Arabidopsis thaliana: one gene and its partners. The protein of the gene in region 3 binds, or shares a complex with, the protein of the main gene of each other region. Each region holds a gene or a part of one and is shown on either strand. Other genes may lie near its edges.

What was found. The genes of interacting proteins can lie anywhere in the genome.
Region 1: AT1G31500 (region 3) and AT1G73875 share a complex: the UniProt entries of both Arabidopsis thaliana proteins name them as parts of the CCR4-NOT complex.
Region 2: AT1G31500 (region 3) and AT5G10960 share a complex: the UniProt entries of both Arabidopsis thaliana proteins name them as parts of the CCR4-NOT complex.

The regions. Positions count from the first base shown.
Region 1 is NC_003070.9:27,778,954-27,785,815, reverse strand, and holds AT1G73875 (DNAse I-like superfamily protein), read right to left. Parts: upstream 4,962-6,862; 5' UTR 4,705-4,961; coding exon 4,413-4,704; intron 4,275-4,412; coding exon 4,111-4,274; intron 4,038-4,110; coding exon 3,972-4,037; intron 3,899-3,971; coding exon 3,846-3,898; intron 3,505-3,845; coding exon 3,423-3,504; intron 3,198-3,422; coding exon 3,148-3,197; intron 3,029-3,147; coding exon 2,956-3,028; intron 2,731-2,955; coding exon 2,638-2,730; intron 2,553-2,637; coding exon 2,520-2,552; intron 2,399-2,519; coding exon 2,307-2,398; intron 2,075-2,306; coding exon 1,942-2,074; coding exon of another isoform or gene 1,858-1,941; exon of another isoform or gene 1,751-1,857; coding exon 1,665-1,750; intron 1,536-1,664; coding exon 1,451-1,535; intron 1,308-1,450; coding exon 1,245-1,307; 3' UTR 896-1,244; downstream 1-895. Other genes in the region: UGT89B1 (UDP-glucosyl transferase 89B1), read right to left, coding at 1-673; BBX16 (B-box type zinc finger protein with CCT domain-containing protein), read right to left, coding at 5,294-5,554, 5,685-6,602. UniProt on the Arabidopsis thaliana protein: Acts as a catalytic component of the CCR4-NOT core complex, which in the nucleus seems to be a general transcription factor, and in the cytoplasm the major mRNA deadenylase involved in mRNA turnover.
Region 2 is NC_003076.8:3,462,100-3,467,209, reverse strand, and holds AT5G10960 (Polynucleotidyl transferase, ribonuclease H-like superfamily protein), read right to left. Parts: upstream 3,113-5,110; 5' UTR 2,847-3,112; intron 2,733-2,846; 5' UTR 2,630-2,732; coding exon 1,796-2,629; 3' UTR 896-1,795; downstream 1-895. UniProt on the Arabidopsis thaliana protein: Ubiquitous transcription factor required for a diverse set of processes. It is a component of the CCR4 complex involved in the control of gene expression.
Region 3 is NC_003070.9:11,273,102-11,279,067, forward strand, and holds AT1G31500 (DNAse I-like superfamily protein), read right to left. Parts: upstream 3,528-5,966; 5' UTR 3,434-3,527; coding exon 3,378-3,433; exon of another isoform or gene 3,374-3,377; intron 3,081-3,373; coding exon 2,816-3,080; intron 2,629-2,815; coding exon 2,579-2,628; intron 2,251-2,578; coding exon 2,181-2,250; intron 1,965-2,180; coding exon 1,840-1,964; intron 1,753-1,839; coding exon 1,640-1,752; intron 1,496-1,639; coding exon 1,360-1,495; intron 1,283-1,359; coding exon 1,135-1,282; coding exon of another isoform or gene 1,129-1,134; exon of another isoform or gene 1,026-1,128; coding exon 720-1,025; 3' UTR 501-719; downstream 1-500. Other genes in the region: AT1G31510 (F-box associated ubiquitination effector family protein), read left to right, coding at 4,316-5,003, 5,048-5,107, 5,180-5,361; AT1G31520 (uncharacterized protein), read right to left, coding at 5,882-5,966. UniProt on the Arabidopsis thaliana protein: Acts as a catalytic component of the CCR4-NOT core complex, which in the nucleus seems to be a general transcription factor, and in the cytoplasm the major mRNA deadenylase involved in mRNA turnover.

The DNA.
Region 1 (6,862 bases), about 17 Mb from region 3:
ACGAGTTCACGACGAGTCCCCAACTCGCCACGTTATCTCTAAAGGAGTCTCTTATGAACTCCCAAGCTGGATCTCCGTGAACGTAACTTCTGTAAAGAGAGGAGATCTGATCAAAACGGTATTTTGGACAATTCGGGATCTTGGGAAAGTGGAGGATCTCGTTATCGTCATCTTCGTTGATCTTGGTGGGCATTTCGATCCAGAGAGTATTGAGTATGCAGCAAGTGATAGCAGCGGAGGGAGAGAAATCGAAACGAGGGATTCCGAGGTTTTTGGTCCAACCAAGGAAGAAATCAGATACGATGGCTACTGGAGGAGAAGGGTGAGAAGTAATCCAAGAGATAAGCGGCGCGTGGAGATTACCAAGCGCGTGGATCATTAAAGGGAAGCCTGAAGGAGGTAAGTCTTGGACGTTTTCGACGCCGGAGGGGATTGAAGGGTGGGAGGGAAAAGGGAGGATAAGTGGTTCGATGTTAACTACGGCGGAGAGAAGCGGAGAGAGAAAAGGAAGGTTTTTTGGAGTGACTAGGACGGTTATTTTTAAGGCGGCGCCGCCGCGGAGAGCAAGGCGGTGGGTGAAGTCGAGGAGGGGAATCATGTGACCTTGCGCCGGAAATGGGAAGATTAAGACATGGGTCTTTGTCGGCTTGTTGTTTTCCTCGTTCACTTTCATAATGAGCTTTTCTAGTGGGACTTTTTTTTGTTTATGCCGGAATGTTTTGGTGGAGCAAAGAGAAAAGAGTGATTTAAATAGATGTGTGTTAACTGTAAATGGCCGATTTGTGTACCCAATGTATTCCCAACACTTGGAAAGAATGCTTACGACACTTTTGATAATACCGTGTGGTATTTTGATTAATGCAGCGTCAGATGACACTTGAGAAGAGCTTATTTTGGAGTGAACAGATTGAGATACTTTTTACGCAACGTCTCTTACATTGTTTTGCTTCTAGTAGCAAAATGGGTCTTCGCTCCTCATAGGTACACGTCCAGTAACATGCTATTTTGGTATTAACTTTTTAAAAGCAGAAAGAGTAGGTGCAAGTCTTGGGTAGGTAAGGTAAAAAAAAATGTTTCAAGTAAGCAAATCTATGTATGGGAATGAGCCCAAAACTTGTTTATGTTTTACAATTTACTGAATCTGTTTCCGAACTCCAATTCAGAAGCCTCGATGAGCATTCAAAAACCTCAAGGGATGGCCAAGTCAGGTGGCTCGGTTTAGTGGTTGGTGCTAACATTTTGGCTCATTGCCAGTCATTGACAAAGCCGAGTTCACATGCGATAGCGAGATGGTCGCTTCCCCAATTCTGCAAATTTTCATTGGTCAGAGACTTGTATGCAACTCTTCCAATAATCCCAGTTTTTACATTCTTGAAAAAATGAATAGAGTAACTCGAGAAAGTAAAGGGTTGCCCCAGAAAAAAAGTTTAGCCTAGAAAAAAAAACTTACCTCACTAGGTAGTCCACCTGTTCTTCTCAATACATCTGCTGGCAAGGTCTCAAGAACCCTCACAGGAACGAGTTCCTTGGTATGCCTGGGTTCAAAACCTCAGATTAATTATTGAGATTTCAAAATTACATGTGCATATATCACAACATTGATAGCCATATATAATTGAAAGCTCTGATTAATGATTCGGATTTCATAAGCACAACAGACTTACCATATATAATCAACAGTTCCAAGGAACCTGGAATGATACGTTGTTGCCAATGGTTCACCGCGTTGATCTCTAGTTCTATATGTACCCTGCAAGATCTCAGGTCTTAGCATACTAGAAGGATATATAACATCATACAACATGCTACTTTCCCTAAACGTTTTTCAGTATCTAGTATAAAAGAAAGCCACAGTTCCTAAGAACTTAGTTTTCCTGTAAGGCAGATTTCAACTCTTTTCGATGCGTCCACCAGTCGAGAACAAGAAACAAAAACACTTACAGGAACTCCACTATATGCGCTGTTAAGCTTCAGTTGATGTTGGACATGAGTGGTTTCTTGACCACCAGTTGCAAGCTGTAATTCTTCCTGGCTCCACTCATTGAGTAGTGATCCGGAGATGGATGCTGAAGCACTGACGAAAGAGGGAGTTGTTTAGTTAGACTAAATTGAGATAGAAACTTCATCTGAGGATTACGTAGTTGATTAAGCGCAGGCCAAAGAAAAATATAAGTAATCTATCACTCTATCAGTTCATCAGGTAAACAGAAGAGATATAAGCAATCTATCCGTTCATCAGGTAGGCAGAAAAGGAATATGGATACATTATTTAGAGAAACCAAAGACCCCGGTGAATTACAAGCTACCTAAATGCATAATGGTTTCTGAATGACCTCTCCTTTGGTTCCACTTCAGTCTGGCCAGAAATTTGCCTGCGATCGTGAAGTTGTGTATCCAACTGTCCAAAATTAAAAAAGGAATATAAAGAGTTCATTCTAACTTTCCCAGTAAAGAAAGGAAAAAAATTATGACCAGGCGAAATGTAAAAGAAAGAGTCCAGAACCCTCAATGGAACTCACATCAGCTGAAGCTATGAAATCATAGATTGCACTCTGTACAGCAAATCCAGAGTAAGTTTTAGAATTCAGCTAAAAAATAAGTATTAGAACAAAAAAAACAAAAGTTGGTAGAGATCACCTGTGGAGTGCTATTCAGATCACCTGCAATCGCCACAGGAATATTTCCCCATTCCTGTGATAGCTTGTAAGCCTTCTCCAGAAAGAGTCTTACCTATAAGTTATGACATATCAAATATCAAGAAATGAGCGAGCTACTTAGAATTTCAATGAAGTTTCAATACTGACAGGCATTGATGTACTGATGAATACCATAAAATAGTACTAGCTAAAAAATTGACATTTCTAAACTCAGGATGTGTAGTGACAGAAATGCTCTACCGATTTTATGGATAAGCCAGTTTTTATCAGAATTTTGTAAGGATCTAGCAAGACATACCTGGCCAAGCTTGATATCCCCACGCTTAGGATTGAATAGGACATGTATATTCCCAACCACTAGCCTTCGAGGACTAGTAGAAGTTTGCATAAATCAACCAAACATGGAAGTGCGCATAAAATTTAGTAAGGATCTTAAAAGTAAGTTCAATATTCACTCCAGTAAAGGAATCAGAACAGAACTCAGACATACTCTGATGATCGCACCCGTAATTTAGACTTTGGGTCCTCCTCACAGTTCATCTGTTCCGTAATAGACAATCAAGTAAATTAATTAATTGCAAGGGCTGAAACTAAGAAAATTAAGCAATTAGCCTGCAAAGCTGAAAACACAACAGGAGGGAAAAATATATAAAATAATGCCCACAATTAAGCTTGTCATATCTCTGTGCTTCTAGAATCAAGAAAAGACAGAGGAGAAAAGAGGGGGAAGACGACAATACAGAAATAACTTAAAACGGTGCATACCTCTAAAACACAAAGTTGAGCAACATTGTTTCGCATACCAAATTTATCAAACTCTATATGTTGATGGTCTAGAAGTTCAAATCTGCATTCACAGCAGAAATATAACATAAATGATGAAACTAGTAGAGTAAGAGTCTAATACAAAATAAATAACATCGAGAACAATAGAAAGCAAAGCTTTCAGCCTTGAACAATATATTGTGAAGCCAAGGTCAAAGCTGATAACATAACACAACGTGAACCTACCATTAACAATTTCGAAACATTCAAAACAGATAACTAGAAGATCTAATTTATCTCGTTCCAAAAGAGAGATATTCCCTGTAGACAATTCAAATGGCTAGATTCCTGATCCTGACTCCAGCATATAGAGACTTCCCACCACATTAAAAATGATCCTAAATAGAAAAAAACTGAACTTACAGATTCTCTTTCCAAAATATAGCACAACCATCACTCGCTTCTCCAGTCCGACTCTAAAAAATACTAAATGTATGAAAAAGGCACCATTGCATACAAGGTAATAAAGCTTTTGACTCGTATATATACCTTGTGAACACCTCGAAATCCTCTATTTTTAAGAAGAACATCTAAATCATCAAAGCGGTCAACCTCCTGCAATAAATTTGGACATGAGAATGCAATGAAACTTAAATAGTGTAGATCTAGGCAATCCCCTGGAACTTGCCTGAAGACATAAGATGCTTGCATTGTAACGACTAATCTCCTTGCATATGAGATGTTTCCGTCTACTCCACTCTAAGTGCTTCCGCGGAACATTGTAATACAAGTCCATGTGGTTCGACGCATTGTCAACACCAAGTAGATTGTACGAAACTAATACTAATTTATCTGAAGAATTGAAAAGGAGATATCAAGTTTTTCATACACATAAGATAAAAATGTGTTCAAAGTACGGAATGTGATACTTCGTGAAGCTAATAAAAGCATATAAGTGCATTATTCAGTGTGATTGCAATGCACACAGACCTGCTAGATTTTCAAAATTGTTTGCGGAAAACACCCATTCGCGCTCAACGGAACTCGAGATCTTCTCCTTAGTTCTCCGTCGCCGGCGGAGAGAAGACTTACTATGTCTGACAGGTTTACAATCACGCTGGCTGAATCCCGGCGTAAAAGAACGGTGAGGTTTTAAGGTTATTGACTCCTTCCTATTCGATTTCTCGTATACGTTCTCCGATTGTTCCGAAATCGAGTTACGCTTCCGCTTGGTGATGGTGATTGAGTTCGCCGTCGTGTTCTTACGCTCGTATCCGCTCATGTCAATCGTAGCAAGTCGGCGGCGCGTGAGCTATGCGTCAACCTTGTGAAGTTAACCAAATTCAGTCGGTTGAAATTCACGATTTTTACTGGTTAACGATTAAAATACGTACTTGATAACCCAAACCGGTTGGCTTAAGTAGTTGCCTAGTTGGGCTCTTTATGTTGGTTTTTTTAATTGTGTGATGGGCTATTCAGCCATAACTAGGCCTTAATGGCTTTTATTTCTTGCTTCATTTGTAAATTGTTGGAAATGGCATGTTCTAATTTGAACTTGTTTCTTGTTTTTTTTTTGTTTTTTTTAATTACACTTGTTTTCTTTGTAACATGTCTTCGCTACGAATTTTTTAGTGTTCGTTATTATCACACATTATGGCTTTTTTCTCCAATTCATTTGATAAACAAAGAGTTTTCATTTGATATATACAATAAATTACTCAATCAATCAATCTATAAAATCATAGTTGCCGGCTACAAGTCTACACAACCATCGGCCCCAAGAGTTTCAGTTCATTATTCAGTACATTACGACAATTACTTCAAAGGTCTTAATTACAAGATCTTTAAAGTGTTGATTAAAGTAAATCAAATCACGTCAAAAGTGACGTCCTCTTCACGAAACGACCTTTGATTCGAGGTCTCTGCTCAGCGTTAAGTTTCCGAACCTCATATCTTATTTTCTTTGAGAACAACCTCGTCCTCCGCTTCTCCTTGTACCTCAAAACCCTCGCCTCTCTCTCCCCGTCCGATCCTCCTCCGTCTCTCCCTTGCTGACGTGTCACCGATCCGTCGCTCGACATCAATTTCTCGTACCCACCCACAACATGAGGCAGACACGTGTTCCCTCCCAACTGGATCAGTGAACTTTATAACGTTATTTCGTCTTTTATAATCAATATATATCAGCTCAAAGTCAACGGAACTCGACACTACTAAAGACTAACATAGAGATGAGAGATATAGCTAGAGACACCAACTTACCATGCACTCCGGTTTGATTCCGGTTTTCCACGGCGAACCGTGATTATCCCAAGCACTAATCACAGCTCCATAATCTAATCTCAGAAACAAACTTGTCTTTCTATCTTTATCATTTGATGCTTCTCTATCACTATCCTTTGATCCTCCATTTTCACACTTGGCTTCTTCTTCTTCTTCATCTTCATCTTTCACCCTCTTCAAATCCTTACAATTAATCTCAAACCCTACTTTATTCTCTTCTTTGATGACTCCAACATCGTTTGGTTCCTTGAATCCCAAGCAAAGTTGTTCTTCCTCAAGTAAACTCTCCACGTCCATAGTGAGATCCTCAAGATCCATATCCAATGGCACGAACCCCATAAAACCTTCATCGTCCATGATTGCCTTCTCGACTTCTCCTAATTCTCCATTAGTAGTAGTGTTATTGACTTCATCAGGAACTAAGCAAAAGCCGTTTATATCATCAATCAGCATGTCTGAGAAAGGATCGAAAACAGGCACGCAACAATTCAGACTCTCCTCGGTTTCTTCTACGGAGGAGAACGAGAAAAAGCCATCATCTTCGTCTCCACCAAGCTCCGGAACAAGAGGATCGTTTGACTCGATTTGCAACAACTTCTCAAACGCACAACTCTTGCTCCTAGGCGTTCTCGCCTTTCTCCTGAATCCTTCGTACCATACCGACGTCGTTTTGTCTGCCGTCTCCGTCGGCGAAGATGATTGTAACCGGACACGTTCGTGCCGTTTCGCTAAATGGTTAGCCGAGTGGATCGAGGCGTCGCAGCTTTGGCATAGGAAAGCGTCATCGGCTGGACAGTACCAACTAGCACGTGATCTCTTCATGCACGCATCACAGCCACGCGCCGCCATCTTCTCTCCTGTCACGCTCGCGGTTCGGCTCTCTACATCGACCACCATTGTGTGTGTATATTACACAGTGAGAGAGTTGCTGAGATGGAGAGAGAGGCCTTGAGAAGAACAAAATACTGTAATATATATGGTTTTGCAACGAATTCACTAGTGTGTGTGGCGTCTCGATTTCCCGGCAGTATTTTTCATTTTTTTCAGAATTATTATTTTTTCATTACCTTGTGTGGTCTAAATTATTTGGAGTGGAGATAGAAATATAAATAAAAACTCATAATTCTATTCATAGTTTATTATGTACGTGTACATGG
Region 2 (5,110 bases), on a different chromosome or scaffold from region 3:
TAGGCAAAAAGTATATTTCAAAACTACATCTGAACCTTACTCTTCATTTTTGAAGAATAAAATAACAAATAGCCCTAATCATACTTAGTTACTTACCATTTTTTCCGCAATCAAGTACTATACATCAACAGAAAAAAAAACTAATAAAATAAAAGTGGGTGCTTGACAGCTTCTTTTGGATTCACAAGGATATGTATATCATAAGTTGATGAGTAATCGTTATAATTAGGGTTGGCACTGATATTTTGCTGGTCTCAACCAAATTGATAAACATACTATGTTTAGGCATACCAAATTTTCCTCAACGAGAACAAGTTCAAAAAAGACATATGGCAGCCACAAGATAATAATTAGACACTAATTAACTCAATTCATATCTGATATGTATATAAATAATTTTGATGCTATTTCGTCCGCACTGTGTTACACATTTTTATTTAAATATGTAACGTTTTTTTGGTTACCTAAAGCAAAGCAATAGCCAATAGTGGTCATTTGATAATAACTAAACCCTAAAACAACAAACATGCCCAAATCAGAATCCCAATTCAACCTTGGTAAAAACGTTCTCCCACCTCTGATCAAAGCCCACACAACAAAGGCCCAAATCAGAATCCCAATTCCCAACACACAAACACACGTGAAGAGACTCAGAGAAGCCGTTAAAGACAGGACTAGCAAGTACACTGTTTCTTCTGTAATAAGAAGTAGATTTGATTCTCTGCCACACCTACATAATAGTGACTCGGACTTTTGCCGTATTGCTGTTGTTTTCTTCTTTTTACTTTATTTCTCGTGTCGTGTTGCTATTGGATCATATGTTTTCGATCATCAAACAAGTTCGTGTAATGAAATATTTAAGGTTTTGAGAAACTTAGATTTAATTATCTTGATGGAAACTGAGTTCATACACAAATCCACATTTTGACATAATACTTCCAACAGGCTGATACTTTTTTTTTTTTCTTCGGCAATTGAATGAGCTACGACGTCTCAATCAGTCAAATCTCGTAATCTTCTGTACCACTTGCGACTCAGATGACGTCTGAATACTTGCCCAACAAAACATTGATTGCATTAGAATGCTACTCATTGACAATATGATAATAAATTGGCTATTGAGGTGATTGGCGAATGCAACAGCATACATATGTGATTCTCCTCCACATTAACCATGACATGATACCACTTACATCATAAACACCTAAATAACAAATCTATACATCAATCGATTACCATAGCTCTGTTTTTTAAACAATGTAACACATATAACCTCTAGCATAAGCAGTTCATTGTTCTCCTTATCAACTTGTATCAACGAAGAGGGAAAGAAGAACACAGGAAGATTCAACATTCTCTTAAGCATAAAACTTACCAGTTTGCATCTTCAAACTGGTATGGTTACAAAGAATTACACAGTAACTGCAAGCTGAGACATGCAAACGCTACTACAAGAAGCCACTGTCAAGTTACATTGGTCACTAGTAAGAAGAAAACACACACAAAAAGAAAAGAGAAGAAAAATTAAAATTGGAGATTATTTATTAAATAAACGGGTAGCTGAATTGATATACATTCAGAAACTCAAGCTAAAACAAAAACCCCTCAAATTTTGATCACAAGGGGTTTTCCTGAAAACAAAGCAACAAAGACACAACAAGTCACTTACTAACACCAATTTGCCAATTTACACAACGACGATTCTATTTTGGTCTTCTCACACTCACAAAGACTAAAGAAATATATCTAATCGCACTTCCCTGGAATTTTCAAAGTATCTTTCATTCCTTTCTTCTTAATTAGCAACAGTAGTAGTAGTACCATCTTCCACACCTAGACCATACAAGACTCCAGTGTATTTCTCAGTTGATCCCGGGAAATAACGTTCCTTGAGCTTCCTAAACGACCCTAAGGTGAGCAAGCTATCCGACCCAGCTTGATGACAAATCCCAACTCTCTCCACTCCCATAAGCTCCGCAAGTCTGTTCAATCCACCAAACAGTCCGTTGCAGAACGTCATCAAGTGCTTGATATCGTAAACCGTAGGGAAATACACATACAGAAGCTTGAAGAAATCAGCTTGCTTGAGAGGCAATTCCTTACAAGTCAACAACTTAACCAAATACCCGAAATCATATCCACCATGGAACGTAACCCACGAGATAGCATCGTTCAAAACAATCCCAGACGACATCATAAGCTCACCAAACCTAACCACATCAATACCTTTCTCAATGTTCTTCTTGAAATCAATCCCACACTGACGCAACAGCTCAATAGACTCACTCGCGTAGATATCCTCACCGATGTTGAACTCACGGAAATTGAATTGCCAGATGCAGAACTTATCCGTCCCACAAGTCGGAAGATTCCCATTCTCATCAGAAAAAGTTAACCCAACTTGAATCAATTTCAACAAATCGACATTTTCCTTGAGAGTCCTGTAGTTAAGATCGTTATTGTACTTGAAAGTAGCAACAGGCTTCAAAACCACACCTGGAAACTCAGTATCCATAGCGATATAGCTGAATTTGTCAACAATCTCACGGATCAACGCGAATTCTTCAACCAAATTGTAATCCCAAACCTCTCGAATCATAATCGAATCTTCTTTCAAAGTCTCCGCCATTTCTAGATATACAACAAACCCAGATCTGAAAACAAAGCATACGTCGGAACTCGGAAATACTGCGAAACTCGTATCGGTAGATCTGTAAACGAAACCTTCCGATCTGAGGAAGAGGCAACAACACCAGGAAAATCAGAAATCGATGTAACAAAAAGCAAACCCTAGCTGTGAAACGAAAATCGAAATGAAACGGAGAGACATGAAAGTATGAAATTACCAGAGGTTTCGCAATACAGATGTAAGAAAAGGAACAGATCTAGCAGATTCGAAGAGAGATCTGTGCGTCTGCGAGAGAGAAATTATCGGGTCAACCAGAGAGAGAGGTTTCAAGTGGTATGGCTTTGGAGAAGATGAAGTGATAAATAAAGACAAGTGTGAGCCTTGAAACGAAGCCGTTTTGTTTGACGATGAAAAGCTTATACGACGACGTTTTGCCGTGCGTCTTCTTACATCAATCATTACGTTTTGGCCAGTTACCAATTATTTTATCCGTATTGTCCGTTTTCTAATTATTTTAATGATGCGAATTGTGTGATATGATGACCAATTTTTATTTATGTGTATCACGGAAATTCCGTTCGTTTGTAACTTCCATGATCTTTTTTTTTTCTTTTGCTTTGTAGACCTACCTCCATTATTCTTAAATTTTATGTATTTTATAGCATTTGGTACTAGAGTTAAATTGTTATACCTTATTATGACGATCGAACTTTATAGTTATAGGAAAAGTTGTATAAACTAAACTGCATTTTGATTTTTGTACAAGTCTAAATTTATATGGTTAAGAAACAGATTGTGCTAATAAACAATCAAAATTATTTATTTTTGCTATGGAGCTAGTCAGCTAGATGATTTGAAGAACCTTAAAACTTCTTTTTCTTACAATTTTAACTCAGTTTTATATCATTTGGTAATAATATTCCTACGGATTGTCTCGCAATTTTATATCACATTTTAATAATTTCTGTACTGATTATCTCACAAAATTGAAAGAATATCAATTTTTTTTTTTGTCGAAAATTTGAAAGAACATAATATTTGATTATTTTCCAGGTAAACTCTTTTATTTCTGTTTTTTTTTCTTCTATGTAAACTCTTCAATTTCGGATTTGTTTCCTATGTAGTTCTGCCAATTAATTGAAAATATGGTATCTTGTTTTTTTTCAACTCAAAAAAAGGATTTTAGATTTATGTTATCTTGTTATTAAGAAGGATTTGTTAGCATAATTGTTAAACAAAACAAAGTAATTTTAATTATAATAGAATTGACTTTGGGATTTCTACCTTACAAGTTACAAGTGGCCAATATTAATGCAATCATACAACGAATGGGAAGACGTTTGATAGAGATACATGCATCACTTGTTACAATCATCTTCGTTCATGAATAGAATCATTTTAGATTTATTTATTTTAGAAAAAAACTTTCAAGTTTCACCAGCGTAATCAGTTTTTCTTCTTAAAATTATTACATGAAAAGATTCTCCAACTCAAACGAGGACCAAAGTTCTTTTTTTTTTTACAAAAAAAGACAACTATTAGGAAGAAAGGGGATAAAGGAATTTTAATTCTAATTATTATTACGGAGTCAAGGCATCATCGTGCTTCCCACTTACCCTCAAGCATAATCCATTGTTTTGTAATAATTAATTCGTTTTTATATAAACTAATGTATTAGCTTGTTTTATATCAAATAATTGTGTACCTTTTTCTATAAATTAAAAAAAATAAACAAGTAATGTCAAGTCACGAAATATTAGATGGTGGTTTCATCATCCGACCATTTTTAGGAAATTTCTTCTGGAATCCAACACATACCAAACATGAAAGTTTCTGCATAATTGTTCTTATATATATAACAAAATTTACTTAATTGTTACCCTCCAAAAATATGTCTCACCGTGTAATTGCTTGCTCATCTAAAATCTAAATAGAATTCTATATTTAAAATCAAAATCGAAAAAAACGAAAATAGAAACTAAAATTGAAATTTTTGTTACTTAAATTAGAAAGAATTATTTAAACAGTTGCATGTATTTAACGTAGATAAATTCTTTAATATCACGTGCACATATAATTTAGATTAGGTAAATCATCTAGTACCAAATATTTGTTTAATTTTATGGGTTTTGGATTGTTTAGAGATGTTTAGATCGTTCCTACAAATGTTCGAACAGCTTGATAAAACAAATGTCATATTCTACATGAACTCTAGGTAACATTTCGATATGATCTATTATAAGATACACTTAAAGATAAGAAGGCTCATAGCTGTTAAGTTACTAAACGTTAAGTTCACTCGTAAAAACGAGTATTTAGTTCTTGATCACGTTTCAGAGAAAATAATCTTATTAGAAAACCATTAAAAACCAAGACCGTAAATCTGAAGATATATCGTTCATAATAATATGACCATATTTTCTATCATTTTATTTTGGACCAACTCCGGTGATCTAATATTAATTTGAGGATCATCATCTA
Region 3 (5,966 bases):
AGGTTCTCAAGGGAAGCTTATGCTAAATGATATTTATTTATAAGAACATATAATAAGCATAGAAAATATAATATTTTTGTTCGGTTGTTTGTGATTATATATTCAAAGGAATGATCACTATCCGTTTTGAAAAAATCTTATGTTTTTGGAACATAACATTACATCACTGTCATTTTGGATAAAAGTTTGAAGAGTACGACTTTATTCAATAACAATGGTTCAAATTATCGGTGAAAGGTGAGACTGTAAAAGAATATTCGTTCGTACTCAAAATTATGATTTATTATTATAAGTTGGTGCGATAGTACAAACTTTAGTGGTTGATAGATAAAACAGATCAATGCTTGACCTAATTTTGTTGCAACTTTATTCAACAAATTGAAACGAGATCATCATATGATATTAACATGTCATTTCACTAAATCTTCTATTGTTTTTGTCTAGTTGACTACAGAATAATAGAACCAATTCTTATGTTATTTTATGAGTGCAATAAACAAGACACATTAAACAATTTCTTCTCAAGAAAATTCAAATATTCTCAGTAATTCAATGCACACAACGAAAATTTCGAGTTTATTGAGACAAAAATGATCCAAGTCCTTTAATACTTTGTGTTGTGTGTGTATGATTCACTGCTTCATGATTTCTACAAGAACCATATTCAAATGCTGAAACAATGGAGTTATGCGACAAAACTTTCTAAAGAACGAAACTTCCTATTCCCGACGAATCTCAAACTCAGCTCCTATAGGTAAATGATCACTCGGGTGATGATGATTCGGTAAGAAACCGACAACATCTGGAGAATCCGGCTCAGGTAGTTGAAGGATACTCACAGGTTTAATGAAGTCTGAAGGAGAGATGAAGATGTAGTCAAGTGTGTTTGTGAAGCCAGGAGTGCAATTTGTGAACTTAGGCTCTCCTCTTGTGACTTCATAGACACTAGACAGAGGAACTGGAGCTTCTTCTTCTTCTATGGTCTCTGTGGGTTTAGCATTACCCGATACTAGGTAACTATAAACCTGGAAAACGACGACAAGTATCAGGATTTTACCACCGTAAACCCAATCTTTTGATTTTGCAAATAGATTGAACAATTAGGGAAACTCAATGTAAGAAACTGAATCAAACCATATCCCCAGGAATTGAATTGAAGTCGCCAGCTAGTAGCAATGAAGGTGTGCACTCAAATTCATCTGATATTAGTGTTTTGAACTGAGCTAGTCGTGACAGTAGATACTTGGCTTGAGCAAGCTTGACATCAGCCAATTCAGGGTCCCTAGAGATAAGTAAACATGAGATGAAAGTTTAAAGGGTGGTAAAAGATAATCTTCAATCGGTGACAAGTATTTTTACCAGTAAAGATGTGTGTTTGCCACGATAACGATATGCTGAAACGGCTTGTTGATCCTAAAAGCAGCCATTATTCCAACGCAATCACGTTTTAGTCTCACTAGTGGATCATTAAGGTCACGACTGTCTTTTCGAGAATCTTTTGTTTGGGGCAGATTTGTGGAAACATGTGAAGAGAACATAGATAAAAGTTAGTAATGATGTTGAGATATAAAGAAACAGCACAAAGTATTTGCTTTCTTTTCCTCCAAAAGGACAAATTTATCTTTCGCTTTCTCATCACCTTTTCCTTCGTTGGATGTCTCAATCTTCTGTTCGCTGCAGGAAACACTATCTGCTTTTATTGAGTCCACAAGATCATTATATTCGATCCGTTCCTTTGTGACTAACTCTGCACTAAATCAAAAGAAGAGTGTTGTTTCAATCAGATTGATGTTTTTGCATTAAGTTAACGTCTTGTCAGGCTTAATGTTTTTATCATACCAGCTTGGCTTGTAGAAGATTGCACAACCATCACGCTTCCTCTGGCCGGTTCTCTGAATATAAATCCCAGAATATCCCAGAGAGTCCATGTTATTTCTGTAAAAGCTATCGTACTCATCTACTTCCTGCGAGCATTGCAACTATATAACTAACAAGTGGAGACACCCTTTTGTTAAACACAATTCAAAGGCCCTATGAACAAACAACACTAACATTTTTACAGGCCTGAGCTTGTCTAATGGATTGAACAAAAGAGAAGAATGAATTTTGTGTTTCATACGAAAAGGGTATCTCAATACTACCTAAACACAAAAGAAGAAGTTTTCACAAGAATAAAGTACCTGCAGACAAAAGAAATCAGCCTGGAGATTTTTGAGAACGCTGAGAATTGCATGTGAACGAGCTTTCCATCTGCAACACAAGAAAAGGAAGACCAAGTCACATTTACTACAAAACCATAACCCTTTAAGAAGCACCATTCCCTAATATTTTAACAAAGTTAATATATCGCTAAATCCAAAGTACATATTGGGTAATGGATAATTAACGTGGGTAAGACCAAACACAATATTGCCTGCTTATAGCTAAGTTCCTAAACATTCATAGAATCCATTGTTGTTTTCTGAAGCAAATCTTGACTATACTCCAGGCCATTGATTACACAACTCACAGAAAGAACTCTTGACTAGTATAAGTAAATTTGATCTCGAAACTGAGAAATGTAGAGAAAAATAATTACTTGAGACAGGCAGGTGGAGAGTGTGGGAGAAGTGCACTCTTCACATAAACCTACAAGAAATATAAAGCTCAAATAGATAAGAAACTCAACAAAGGAAAGAGCTAAAAGAACTGTCTGTATCTATAAATCAAGCTCAGAAATTCGTAAGATCGTTTAAAACTACAAAATTCGTCCAAATATTAAGCTACAAAATATCACAAAGCATATGAGAGATTAAAAAGCTTGATTATTTCTTACCTGAGCTAATATGTTATATGAAACAAGACGGAATCTGATACCTGAAAACACAAAATTCTCATTACTAGTACCAATTCTACTTAAACTTATACAGTTATATAAAGCCACAAGCTTTGATAAGTAAAGAGGAATAGCAAAAAAACCATCGGATTTATTTCTTGAACCAATATCAACTCCTTCAACAGATTCAAATTTGCGAACTTTTGGTTCAATTGCAGGATTCGTACTCATTCTTCTCGAAATAACTTTCCTGCAGACACGAGAGCTGTTGAATCAAAGGGTCAGGAAAAAAAACAATCCTTGAACATCAATATTTAGGTCAAAATTAAGAAGCTGATTTAATTCCCCATAAAATTTCAATTACAGCCCAGATAAATTCGAGATTCTAGAGGATTGGTTCCAATATAAAGATGAGAAATTTCTAAACAAATTGTATTCCTCAACGAAATTGCCCAATGACAATGAACAGAGACGATCAATTTAGTTGCATTACTAAATACGAAACTTGAGATTACAGAAAATGAAACTGTATATTGATTGATACAGAAACGAAGAAACCCACCTGGGAAGAAGAAGATTCGGACGAGGAAGATGATGCAGAGTTGTAGAACTAAACATCTATAGTGACAACAATTGACTTAACCCAATTTGGCTTTAGATTGAAGAAACTCTTGTGGGTTTTCAAATAAAATAGTGAAGAATTCGATAATTATCATTTGCTCCCTGTCTTTATATTAAAGTAGTTAGTGAGCCTTCATTTTATTTATTGGAACTTTAGAACCAAAAATAGGTCATTAGTAGGTTCATTTACTTTCCAACAAATAAAAATCCAATCGAAATCAACGTCAAAATCCAAAACCCAAAATTTTCAAAAATTCCCAAAGCACCTATATATATAACTATATAAGTTAGTATGAGTTTCTAAATCATTTACTGTCAGATATTTAGTCTATAAATGGTTGTGTACCAGACTAAAATCTAATTAATCGATATTTAACTAATTCACCATTACGGACCAATATACACTATTGCGAATTAAAAATTTCCATACTAACACTCACTTGAGCATAAAACTTTATAAGATGAGAAATTATAGATATATTTCCCAAAAAGCTTCACACCAATATTAATATAACAAGGGGATTGACGTAAATGACACTAAAAAACTTTATTATTCCAAAAAATGACACCTTTTTTTTGAAATTTCCAAAATAGCATATAAAATTTTTAATCCTCTATAAATTAATTAAATAATAAAGTTTTTTTTATTACTATTTGTATCAATCCCCCAAATAAAAATGAGAGCAAACATTAATCTAATATTAAATTGAATCAAAAAAGTTTTTAATAATAAAAATATATACCCTAAATTGAAAATAACAAACCCAAATATAATACTACAAACTAATTTGGTAAAGGACATACTACAAACTAATTTGGTAGAGGACATGCAAGCAATGGAAAACACTAATCACAGAACCGATATTCGTCAACAAGCACATGTCTCACATGCATGGTCTTGAACCGATATTCACAGTCTTCAATTACGTTCCGGCCACAGTTTCTCCATTGTGCTCAACAATTTCTTGTATCGGTATGGATTTCAACAACAAACCTAGTTTAAATTTTCAGGTTTTTAAACCGCTTTCATCTTCGGATTTATTGGAGCACAACATGTTTCATTGTGATGGTCTATTGCTAATGGTCATGGGAACCAAAATTTTAGTTTCCAATCCGTTGTTGAAAGAAGCAAGATGGATCAAATGTGGCTATAGCTTTGAGTTTGACCATTCCATCGATGCATATGGTCTTGGATACATTAGTAACGAGTCACCAAGTGGTTGTAATGATTACAAAATGGTTAGGTTTCGGTGTCCTAATAATTTAAGTGTTGAAATCTACGATTTCAAATCTGATTGTTGGAAGGTTGTTGTTGTTGATAAAACCTTCCATGGGTTCTTTCGACTACCATTGTCAAGTGTGTGTATAGGAGGAACTCCTTATTGGATAGGTTATAATATCTACGGTACCGTTTCGATACAAAGTTTCGATTTCTCAAAAGAGAGATTTGAGACCTTGTTCGAGTCTCTTCATCACTCATCCATCGGGATCCAGTGGAAAGATTCTCTTTCTTTAGGGATTTTCCGTGGAGATCATCTTTCTTTGTTACGTGAACCGCACTTAGCAGGTAAGATATACTGATGAAGAAGCATTGGAGTAGGTTAATGACAGTTTCTATAGCTCAACTTCCCAAGTTTCCAATATATCCAAGTCACTTCATTGAGAACAATGGTAAGATTCTGCTATATATTCGTCACTTTGTAACTAGGTCAATTAGCATCTACGTTGTGGGAGAGACATAAGAATGCCCGAAAGTTGAATGTTACTCTTCTATGGAGTCTTCAATTGGTGGTCCTGGTTGCTACTATATATGTCCCAAGCTTACTTCCGGTTCCAGGCTTTTCGAGGTAATTAAGAGGAAGAAGAATAAGCGTGCTCCGATCCATTGCTACGAGTTAAATGGTTATCTTCTTTCATGTTTATAATGGTCTTTACTTTCGAACTCTATAAACATAGTGGGATAACTTCATAAGAGTTTGAATCTGGTTCGAAAAAAGTGGGAAACAATATTTATGCATACAAATATGGTTTTTTATTTTGATTATTTCTATGTTCATATTATTGCTTCGGCGGATCTGAACTCAATGCCAATGAGCAAATGATCACTCGCTTTCGGTGTCTCGTAATATAAGATCATGATTTGATATTCGAGGTCTTTATGCATCCGTGGTTCCTTATTCCCCAAGCTTAATCTCTTTATTGCATAAATTGTATACGTTCTCGTCATATATTCTACTTATTTACTTGGTATAGTTATTTCTGGATATGACAAAAAGTAAACTCTACATTAATATTTTGGAGAGATTTTGAATAAGTATGGGAAAATACAAGAGAAGAATCTTTAACAAAAAAAAATACAAGGGAAGGAATGTTGTTTAAAAAGAGTTGTTTCATAGATGAAAAGTGCTTTTCTCTTATCTTAAGAAACCATCTGAATTATAACTTCTACATATATAAACGCCATGTATCACTGCTAGTGAGGTCTCCGGCGTTTACTCGGAGAATGGCGAGGTGAGCGTAAACAATGGGA